2 linked regions of the Drosophila melanogaster genome follow. Changing the gene in region 1 together with any one later gene gives a genetic interaction. Each region holds a gene or a part of one and is shown on either strand. Other genes may lie near its edges.

The links. A genetic interaction does not mean that the proteins touch.
Region 2: of CG32137 (region 1) and lap, changing one enhances a phenotype caused by changing the other (phenotypic enhancement), as found in Drosophila melanogaster (one study listed by BioGRID).

Annotation. Positions count from the first base shown.
Region 1 is NT_037436.4:13,937,621-13,942,416, reverse strand, and holds the start of CG32137 (uncharacterized protein), read right to left. Parts: upstream 3,168-4,796; 5' UTR 2,959-3,167; intron 1,748-2,958; 5' UTR 1,392-1,747; coding exon 942-1,391; intron 1-941. UniProt on the Drosophila melanogaster protein: Functions redundantly with BicD. Involved in formation and/or development of mechanosensory organs during metamorphosis.
Region 2 is NT_033777.3:7,185,054-7,190,042, reverse strand, and holds the start of lap (like-AP180), read right to left. Parts: upstream 3,050-4,989; 5' UTR 2,632-3,049; coding exon 2,496-2,631; intron 1-2,495. Other genes in the region: CG10055 (uncharacterized protein), read left to right, coding at 3,472-3,737, 3,833-4,229, 4,286-4,989. UniProt on the Drosophila melanogaster protein: Assembly protein recruiting clathrin and adaptor protein complex 2 (AP2) to cell membranes at sites of coated-pit formation and clathrin-vesicle assembly.

The DNA.
Region 1 (4,796 bases):
CGCACACACACACACACAGTATGTCATCGTCCATAAAGTGACATGACTGTAACCATTTTTGTTTGTCTAAATAGTTAAAGAACCCACCCCACAATATAAATTGCAGTTGACAGTTTGGGGAGTTTGTGTGTTCAGTTTACAGAGCTGCATTGGACAGGTGCTGTGTTTCAGCTCTCGAAAAAAATCCATATTGTATATGTATTATTTAATTCTCCCGACCTGGGAATGCCAGCAATGCGTCAATAGAGGGGGTCATTTACGAACACATGTCCGCCAATAATCAATGCAAATCATCAGGTGAGTCAATCAAAATTCTGGTACTCAGGTATAACTGCCGTTGCCGATTTGATAAATGCGCCGGCATTTAGAGATAACTATTAGATTGTTCAAGAAATCATTAGAGGAAAAGGTAGGGAGCTTAAAAAGGGAAAATAATAAATGGGTCTGAATTTACAAATGTTGGTTTCACACAATTGGTAGCTAATATAGAGATAGAAGCAAAGTGATTATTTTGTTTATTGCTCACACTTTAGTAAATCAGATAGAGAATAGAGATAAAAGAACATGAAAGCATTCCCTCAATAAGCAAGATATCATTAAACTAATAATAAAGAGTGCTTAGATCTCTTCCATTCATTTAGAAAACATAACAAAAATTAATTTTTTCATTTCCCAATTCTTTAAATTGCTGCTTAACCATATTCAAGAGATACATAACTATCATCTCTATGATCTTTTAAATTGTAAGTGTATTAAAGTATAATATGCATTGCCTATCTTTTAAGTCACTAAAGTACCTTCCAAGCTATATGTCCTCTTCCTAAATTTCTTTTAATTCTAACCAATTTTCCTTTCCCCCAAATAACTGACTTCCATTTCAATTGTTTGCCATTTATAATGGCAATTCCACCTGTTAACTTTATATGTGTTTCATGACTCACCTCAATTTTGCTCGAATAGTCCTCGATGAGCTTTTCCTGCTGTTTGACCAGCTCCTCGTTCTTCTCGAGCAGTGCCTTGCCCAGTTCGGCGGCCAATAGGATGTCCGACTCCTTCTGCTGCAGCTGGGCCCAAACATCCGGCTCCTGGTCGTGTCGACGTGCCTCCATGGCGCTGATGTAGTGCTCTAAATCAATCGAATCCCCAATTAGTGACGAATAGTCGAGGTGGTCGAAGCCGGAGTCGTCCGACCGGAGTAGCCCCCCAGCTCCAGCTCCAGTTCCAACTCCGATCGAGTATTGGCCAAACTGACGTGGTCGCTTCGATTTGTTGCCACCGGAGCTGCTGCTGCTGCTGCCGCCGACGATGCTGTTGTTGTTGTTGTTTTTGGTGGATATGGATGAGGCAATGGCGGCAGCGGTTATAGCATTCGCTAGCTTTGGTTTATGCATGATCGTTAGCGGGCAGGCTTGGACTTATTTCAGGCGGGTAGGTGTGGTATGGTGTGTACGTGATATTACGGGTACGGATAATAGCAACGAACCAAATTTACAGACATAACACACACACACACACGCACAGTAAGTTGGATGCAATTAATATCAGTTTAGGTTTTAGTGCGATGCAGAGATCACAATTTTGGTAGTTGGGTTTATCGTTGGTTAGGTGTTCAGATGGCTCTGATCTGGTCGTAGGATTAGCATTAGCTGGCGCGGCGATACGATGATATATCCGAGCATAGTTCCATGGACACCAGCTGCTCCCAAAAGAGAGCAGACCCGTGGTTAAAGCGACTGATGTGTTTGAGCTGCAGTTGATTTCGGTTAGATATATAAGTATAAGTACACAGCCGTAATGAGAATTAGCATTAAATGTGGTATATATATATATGTATGCCCGCCAAGACGGGTCTAATCGTTGGCCAAAAGGAGCGACGGTCACGTTGAGCGTTTGCCAGCACGTTTTTAGTTACTTGTTATTGGGGCTTTTTTTCGGTTTTTGGTTTTGCTAGGGTCAGGGGTGTTTTGGGCAGGGGGGGGGGGATAACATATAACTACAGTGTTAAGCAAGAGGGTTAAGTTAGTCTTTAGTTAAGCTTCATGCGGCTTGGATATCAAATAGGGTTTAAGTTTCTTGCGGATTGGGGGGCGTATTGACATGCGTGGATTTATACAGGTGGGTGGATATTTATAAGGCTGTTAAGGCAGATTATCCAAAAAGAACTTCAGTAGTAGTTCCATTAAATTTAAGGGTATTAAAAGTTTATTTACAGAGGTTGCTTTAGTTAGCGAGGATGTACCAATGAGTTTAGTATGAGTCTCCGCTCTAGGTTTAAATTTCGAAATACCCAAATATATATACAATTAATGTTAAATGATTTTTAAAACATTATCGGCCAACTAAACACAACAATAGAGCCAAACGAAGGTGGCTAGAATCTCTCAAAGTCCACAGATCTCGTTTAAAATTTGGTCCGGTTTTTTTAAACTTATATATATTTTTTAGCCGTTTTCATTTGTTATATAGAAAATTCATTTGGCAAGCACTTCACGCTTAGCTGCTTTTGGTAGCAACAGCAACTGTTGTTAAAATGTATAATACGCTTCAGGCTAAGCTTTTAGCCAACACTTATTTTGTTATTTATGTGCGCTTTGTGTTTATTTTATTTTATTCGTTTTATTTTGATTTTTTTTTTGGAAGCAGCACAGACAGCACAGTTCACAAATACACAACCGATTTGGCTCAAATTGTTGGTATTATTGTTTTGCATTTCCGCTTATATATGCCGTTTTTGGCCAGAGTTTGGCATTATTATTGACAAAACAACAAAAATAACGCGCGGATTGCATGGGATATATTGGTCTAATTAATTCCCCCAAAACGGAAAGTATCCAAAGTATCCAGCAGATACTTTCCACTTTCGCAAGCGCGCTACAGTCTGGCCCTATATATCTTTTAAACTATTTGTATATATATATATATAGCTAACTATATCCGTATATGTATGAGGGCAGAAACCTCGGTCACGACGACGCTGCTCCACTCCAAAGCAGAACTTCCGATGTCCGATGTCCGATTCTCCGATTTTCGGATTCTCCGATGCCGTACAACGCGCGCTCGCTTCGCTTCGGTTACGATTTTCTGGCTTTCCCCAGCTTTTCAGAGGGCGGCTTCGCGGGGGCGTGGCGGATACGTGTGTCTGGCGCGAACGTTCGTTACTAACTGAATGGCGCTGAGGCCGCCGTGCTACGAAAATTGGCAAAACAAATGAGTAACCAAGCGACGACGACGACGAACGACTGGCTAAGCCTCGTATCTTGGCAACAACAACCAACAACATCGGTTGGCTCTCTTAGGTGGCGGTTAACAAAGAGAGTTACCAGTGTTCCACCAGGGTTGTCGAATAATAGCAACGAAGCAGGGGCGATAATCGCAGTCGAGTAATATTATTGGTTACAAAGCAACTAAGATAGCAAATTGCAATTTAGGACGCAGATAACTGATAATAGACTATTTATGGCCTAAGATATCTTCTTTAAGTCAATAAACATTTGGAAAACTGGTTTTCTGTTCAGCTACTGATAGGCATATCGTATTAGGCAAATCTCGATAGCCAAACCTAAAAATAAAATGTCATGATTACTTGGATTATTTTGGACAGAGATTTTGCAGTAATCTTACTTTAAAAATGTAGATCTAAAATCTACAAGGAAATAATTTAAGCCTTAGCATTGTGGATGAATTTTTCATGAAATCGCTTCTTACCTGGCAACCCTGGTAAAACCAAAACACAGCTCCAAAGGTAAGCTTCACTTGGCGCTCTTTTGCTCCGACTTCCTTCCCTTTTAACTGACATATGGTTGATTCGGCTCTACTCTCTTGACTGCTCTTCGCCGTTTGTTTTGCATTGGGCCCGACTTACGAAAGCGGCCAAGTGAACAATAATGAAACGGAGTGACGTTTCGAATGGGGCAGGGGGGCACTGGGGAGCGTGGCCAAAAGGGAGGAGGGCCAGAGACCTGGACCTCCAAAAACCACGACGTGCATACACACATGTACCCAAGCGTACACATTTCAATGCAAAATTTACATACGACAAGAACACAAACAATGGGCACCCAAGAATGGCAATAACAATGGGTATACACTAAGCAATTAATGGGTATATGTTTGCAGGAACTTTATTTCTTCAAATTTTTAGATTCGCGGTCATTTTGCTCTAGGCATCGAAATTATGTTAAAAAGCTAAAGTGCTCCGGAAGGAAGTAATTACAAGCTGTAAAAAATATTCAAATTGTTTCATTAACATCTGAATTTAATCTATATATTATACAGCTCAAAGTAAATGTATCTTTAAAATTTATTTAGAGATCAGTACTAATTACTGAAAATCAGTTATGAAAATGAAATATTCTATCACATACCCTATAATCATACTTCTAGCACATTCTGCTTTTGAAAATGAAAATAGGTACAAGTATGTGACCCCAATGTTTCCAGTGCATCCAAGTGAGGAAGATTTCTAAAGAGGGGGCCGTAGACATGGTCTATGTTAAAAAGCTAAAGTGCTCCGGAAGGAAGTAATTACAAGCTGTAAAAAATATTCAAATTGTTTCATTAACATCTGAATTTAATCTATATATTATACAGCTCAAAGTAAATGTATCTTTAAAATTTATTTAGAGATCAGTACTAATTACTGAAAATCAGTTATGAAAATGAAATATTCTATCACATACCCTATAATCATACTTCTAGCACATTCTGCTTTTGAAAATGAAAATAGGTACAAGTATGTGACCCCAATGTTTCCAGTGCATCCAAGTGAGGAAGATTTCTAAAGAGGGGGCCGTAGA
Region 2 (4,989 bases), on another chromosome or scaffold:
AATAAATGAAAATCATTTTATTAAGCATAGCTTTATATTAGTTTCTTAACGCATATCCATACAGTAGATTAGAAAACAATAAAGAACGTTTTTTTTTTTTGTAATTTTCGGTTAGTGAACCATTTGCTCTTTTCCTTAATTTTGTACGTCCAACTCAACTTTACTTTTGGTTGCGATTAACTTTGACTTGATATTTATTTTCCCAAGCATTTATTGGAAAAATCAATCAGATTCGATATAACCGCCGACAACTATTAGTTATTATCCTCTAGATTTATTCAACAGTATATTTTTTTTACGAAAACTTAGTTCATATGAGCAAAACAACAAATGTTTACATGTTTAAGAAGCAACATAAAACTTTAAAAGTCAATTTATCTGTTCCAGAAACAAACAACGTTTCTGTAAAGATTATTATTATTATAATAACCGAACCTCCCATAAATTTAATCATCTTGTTTTTTGCGTCCCGTTATCGGTCGCGACTCTTAGTCGTTGTTTGCTTATCTGCGCTTTAAGCTTGCAGCCGCCATTCAAGCTAAATACTGACGGAAAAGTGTCGATGATAAGAGCTGAATCCCATTGTGTCTACTATCATGCGCTTCCATTTGAATCAATTCCCATTTCGGTTGGAAAGTGTTTGTCGCCGAGCAAGAAAAAATTGCATGGGATTCGAGGGGCGTTGCACATTTCACAAGCCATCGCAGATGTTCGCCGTCCTTTTGCTTCATTTTGTTTGGCTGACGGGCGCCAGGCCAGTGATTCATTTATACATAAATAAGAACAAATTTCAATAAACAGTAAATGTGGAAAATTGATCGGTCCTTGTAAACGAAACTGGTGAGTTTCTTAACGAGCACAGTGGCCTGGGGGTGTCACTTTATGACAAAACGTTGAAATCGCTGAGTAGTTAAGACATTTTGAATGAGTTATTTAGTTAAAATTCGTATCCGCCCTTTTTGAAATCTTCACTGATTCACATATATTTCGAAAATATTTACAGTGCTCGGATACCAAAAGCGATTGGCGACTTCTGTAGCGTAGTTATCGCTGGGGTCAATTCGCATGCTTATGCTCTTAAATACATAAATAAATAAATGTGTCGGGTATCGAGACTCCACTGTAGTGGGGGACCATTGATACTTAATTTTAATTATTATTGCCCACTTGTGTAGCTGGTTGAAATATTCTGGGATCTTTTCAATCGGTGTAAAGCTCATTAAGTGCTGTTGTTTCCGTGAACACACAACTGGTTTTATCATAGGACAAAAGTTGTTAACAAAAGAAAATAGAGAAAATAGGTAGAAGAAATATATTTCATGCTACCTGCTGACGTCTTGTAAAATGTACGGACTGACTTTTAACTCAGGTTTAATTTATTTAGACTTTTGGTAACTGAATTGAGCATAACGTTTTGGATAAAGTAATCAACTTGAATAAACAGCACATGTGGCCAAATTTTGGGTTATATTGGAAATTGGTTTGCGGCAACTGCAATACAATGTTTATGTGACAAGTAACGCCCCACAATATTGCCCTCTTTTATTCCCATTTACTCGTAGCCATATCTGATGAGTCATCTGAAAAGTGCCAACAAGCTAAATAAAAGGGGGTCAAAATGCGAGCAAAACTAGCCAAAAAAACAGATTCCAACGGGAATGAATGTCGTTAGGATATGGAGCTCTTTAGAAGTATTTGCAAAATTCAAACGTGTAAGCAAATCCAGCAAATTAGGGAAGACTCTTGCATAAATTTAACAAGCAATGACACCGTGACAAACACAATCCCTGCTTTCGTAGGCGTTTTAAGCCATTCAAAGCCCCTACAAACACACGTGCACCCGTGGGAAAGTGACGTAACATTAGAGAGAGAGAGAGAGTGTGTTGGTAGAAAGAGAGGGGAGTCCAATCAATGACGAACGGAGTCCACAAACACCAGCAGCTGAGCCACAGATGCAATTTGAGGGTGGTGGTTTGTGTTTGTGGGACTTTGTGGACCGTAATCAGTGGTTTCGTTTTCAGAAAACTTTGTGATTTATCGCACAAAAACAAAAGGCACGTGAAAATGGAGCGAGGAAGCCAAGAAACCCGAACTGGTTGCATCTGAATGTTGTTGCTAAATTACTTTTGCAGCGTACTAACTGTGCCGATGGTTTTTATATTTAGGCTACATTTAAATTTTTTATTTTCTTTGCTAATTTGTTAGGCACTCCTTACTTTAGTATATTATTCATTCCAATTTTTATTATTATTAAAATTTAAGTTAATTTCTAAACAGATTTTATTGCGACTTATGTTTGCAAATAAAAATAAATTAATTTTAAAGCGTTACAAAGTAACAATAATATTTTCGTGTGTTTGATGGGTACATTTCCACTAGTAGCACAAGGCTGTGCCTCTTTTCTCTCTGTGTTATAACAAGGAAATGTAACGGTGATTTACGCAATGAAAGACCAAGAGAGTGGGCAAGGGAAAGAGATAGACAGGGCAACTCACAGTCCAAGTGCTTCTTCTTCGGGCCAATGCATTCCTCCGTGGTGGCCTTGCAAACGGACTTGGCGAGTCCTTGGCCCGCAAGGCTGTGACGGGCGGCCAGCAGCCTGTCGTTGATCGTTTGCCCTGCCATGGTCATGATGAAGCTGTTGCTGTTGTTGTTTCTGCTGCCGCTCGCTGGTTTTTATTTACTTGATTAATTTAATTATGCACCAAAGGAGCTGACCACACCGACACACACACACACTCGAAAGCAGATACAGAGAGAGGGAGAGAGAGACACACACACACACGCGTATGGGGCGAGCGAGAGACAGAGAGGTATTGATTGATTGAGAATATTTCGAACGGGAAAACTCTGCTATGCGAGCCTCACGATTAAACTAACAGTAAAGATTTAGTGGTTCCTACGTCACAATCACTACACAATTTATCGCCGCGGTTTATGCGCTCTCTAACCGGTGCCTAACGCTGAAACGCGATTTTTTAATTCTCTATTTTTCCTCTGCCACAAATCGATAATGGCGACTGGCAAATGGAGCGAGCGTATGAGCAATGTCCTAAAGCGTCCACAAAGTGGAGCTAACGCGTGCAATCGACTTGAGTTTACGGCGTTAGGTGGGAAAATATCGATTGCCATAACGTAAGCGAATACGAAATAGCTGAACTTAGCTTTTACGATGTGTTCATATAAGTTCTGAAAATAAAAAAAAATAATGATAAATAAATAAATAAAAATATAAAATATTAAGATACTATAAATAAATCTTTTTTTATAACTTAGCACTTAAAATTCCCCAACAGCAGTTAAAAAGTAGCTAGATTTGTCGGAAGTGTAGCCAAACGTAACGTAAGCTAAGGGGCTGTCAACAGGAATTTTTAGTTTCGAGTAGGCGGTCATACTGGTCATTAAAATAAATAAAATTATACTAAAAAACAGTAGTTAGCACAATCAACAGTCTCGTAATAAAATTGTAAGATGTTGAATGGACAGATTGCACACAGTTATTTGGAGAACTCGTGCACGCTGATCATACCCCGCCCGCCTGTCCTGAATCAGTCCTCAAAGTCGGCCCAGCCAGCAGCAGCTGCTGCTGCTTCTTCTTCCGCTGGTGAGGAGTTTGGTCAGGAAGCGGGGTCGGGGTTGGCGGAAGCGGAGGCGTTGCATGTGGATCGCATAAGAAACTGCGATATATTCGTTGACGCGCACGATCTTTATTTCTACGCAGATGTTAAGCTGTACAAGTGAGTCACATCCGGCAATCTGTCGTGCCCATGGTGGGCCATGGTGGCGAAATTCCAGCGATATCATTGCGTACTTGTACTCCCTTTTCGGACAGATTCCACAGCCGTCGCACCTTCGACTTGCGAGAGCTGAAGACGCTGTTGATAAAGTTCAACACGACAGAGAATCACTACCAAATTTGCCTGCGCTGTCTGCCCCTAACAGCGGGTGCCCAGGAAGGACCCGGTGGAGAAAGAGGCGGAGGCGGTGGTACGGGGGATGCAGCCAAGCAGTGGAATAGTCGCAAAGAGTACATAGCCGCATTCCTGCACCTACCCACACTGAGTGCCAATTTGCCGGACAAGCAGCCTCTGGTGCAGGAATGGAAACTCAAACGAATCACCGATCAGTGCCAATTGCAGCTCGACGACCACGAGCGCACCTACAAGCTGACCAACAATTTTGGGTACGGCTATGCTAGCGAATACAGCGGACCGCTAGACCTGAGTGAGGTGAGTTCAATTGGTTAACCTGCTCTTCCGCGCACTAAACACAGATGTTTTCACAGTTGGACAGAGCCACGTGCCGCGTGTCGGAGCCACATCGCATGAGCCCCATCCAAAGGCGGCAAGAGCGCGTGGTCGATGAGATGAAGCGCTTTTCCCGCGAGCAGTACAAAATAAATTTTGTGGAGCTACAGGTTCCGTCCGGTCACCAGAATCCTTTACGCTACAAACCGAAAATCTACGAGACTTCCATGACCCAGGAGCAAGCGCATCTGCTGCACAACATCAGCCGAATGCAGACACGGGAGCAGCAGCCGTGCGACGTTTTTCGGCAAAACGAGATCGATTGCGGGCTGATAAGCATTCTGTTGGCCATATGCTATGATGTGCGGACGACGAACAATGAGCCGACGTGTGAATCGGGCTGGACGCGAAGCATACTGTGCCCGCTTTATTGCTACTTTGAGCAATTCGACAACTATCGGGACGTACTGGTTGCCTTCCTGCGGCGAATGATCACCTACCCGCTGTACCGCAATTTCGAGTTGGGCCGCCAATGTGTACGGGATGCCATAGAAGTTTTAAAGGGCGGTCGCAACTGGTTAATTAATCAGCTGCTGCTAACGCACCAGCAGTTCGCCAGCAGTGATCCCAGTCGCGATAGCTTCAACAACTACTATTTGGAGGACTATATACGATATGTGACCAGCCCGAGCGCCTGCAGTGATGAGCACATGCGCCTTCTTGCCCGCAACCTTAAGAACGT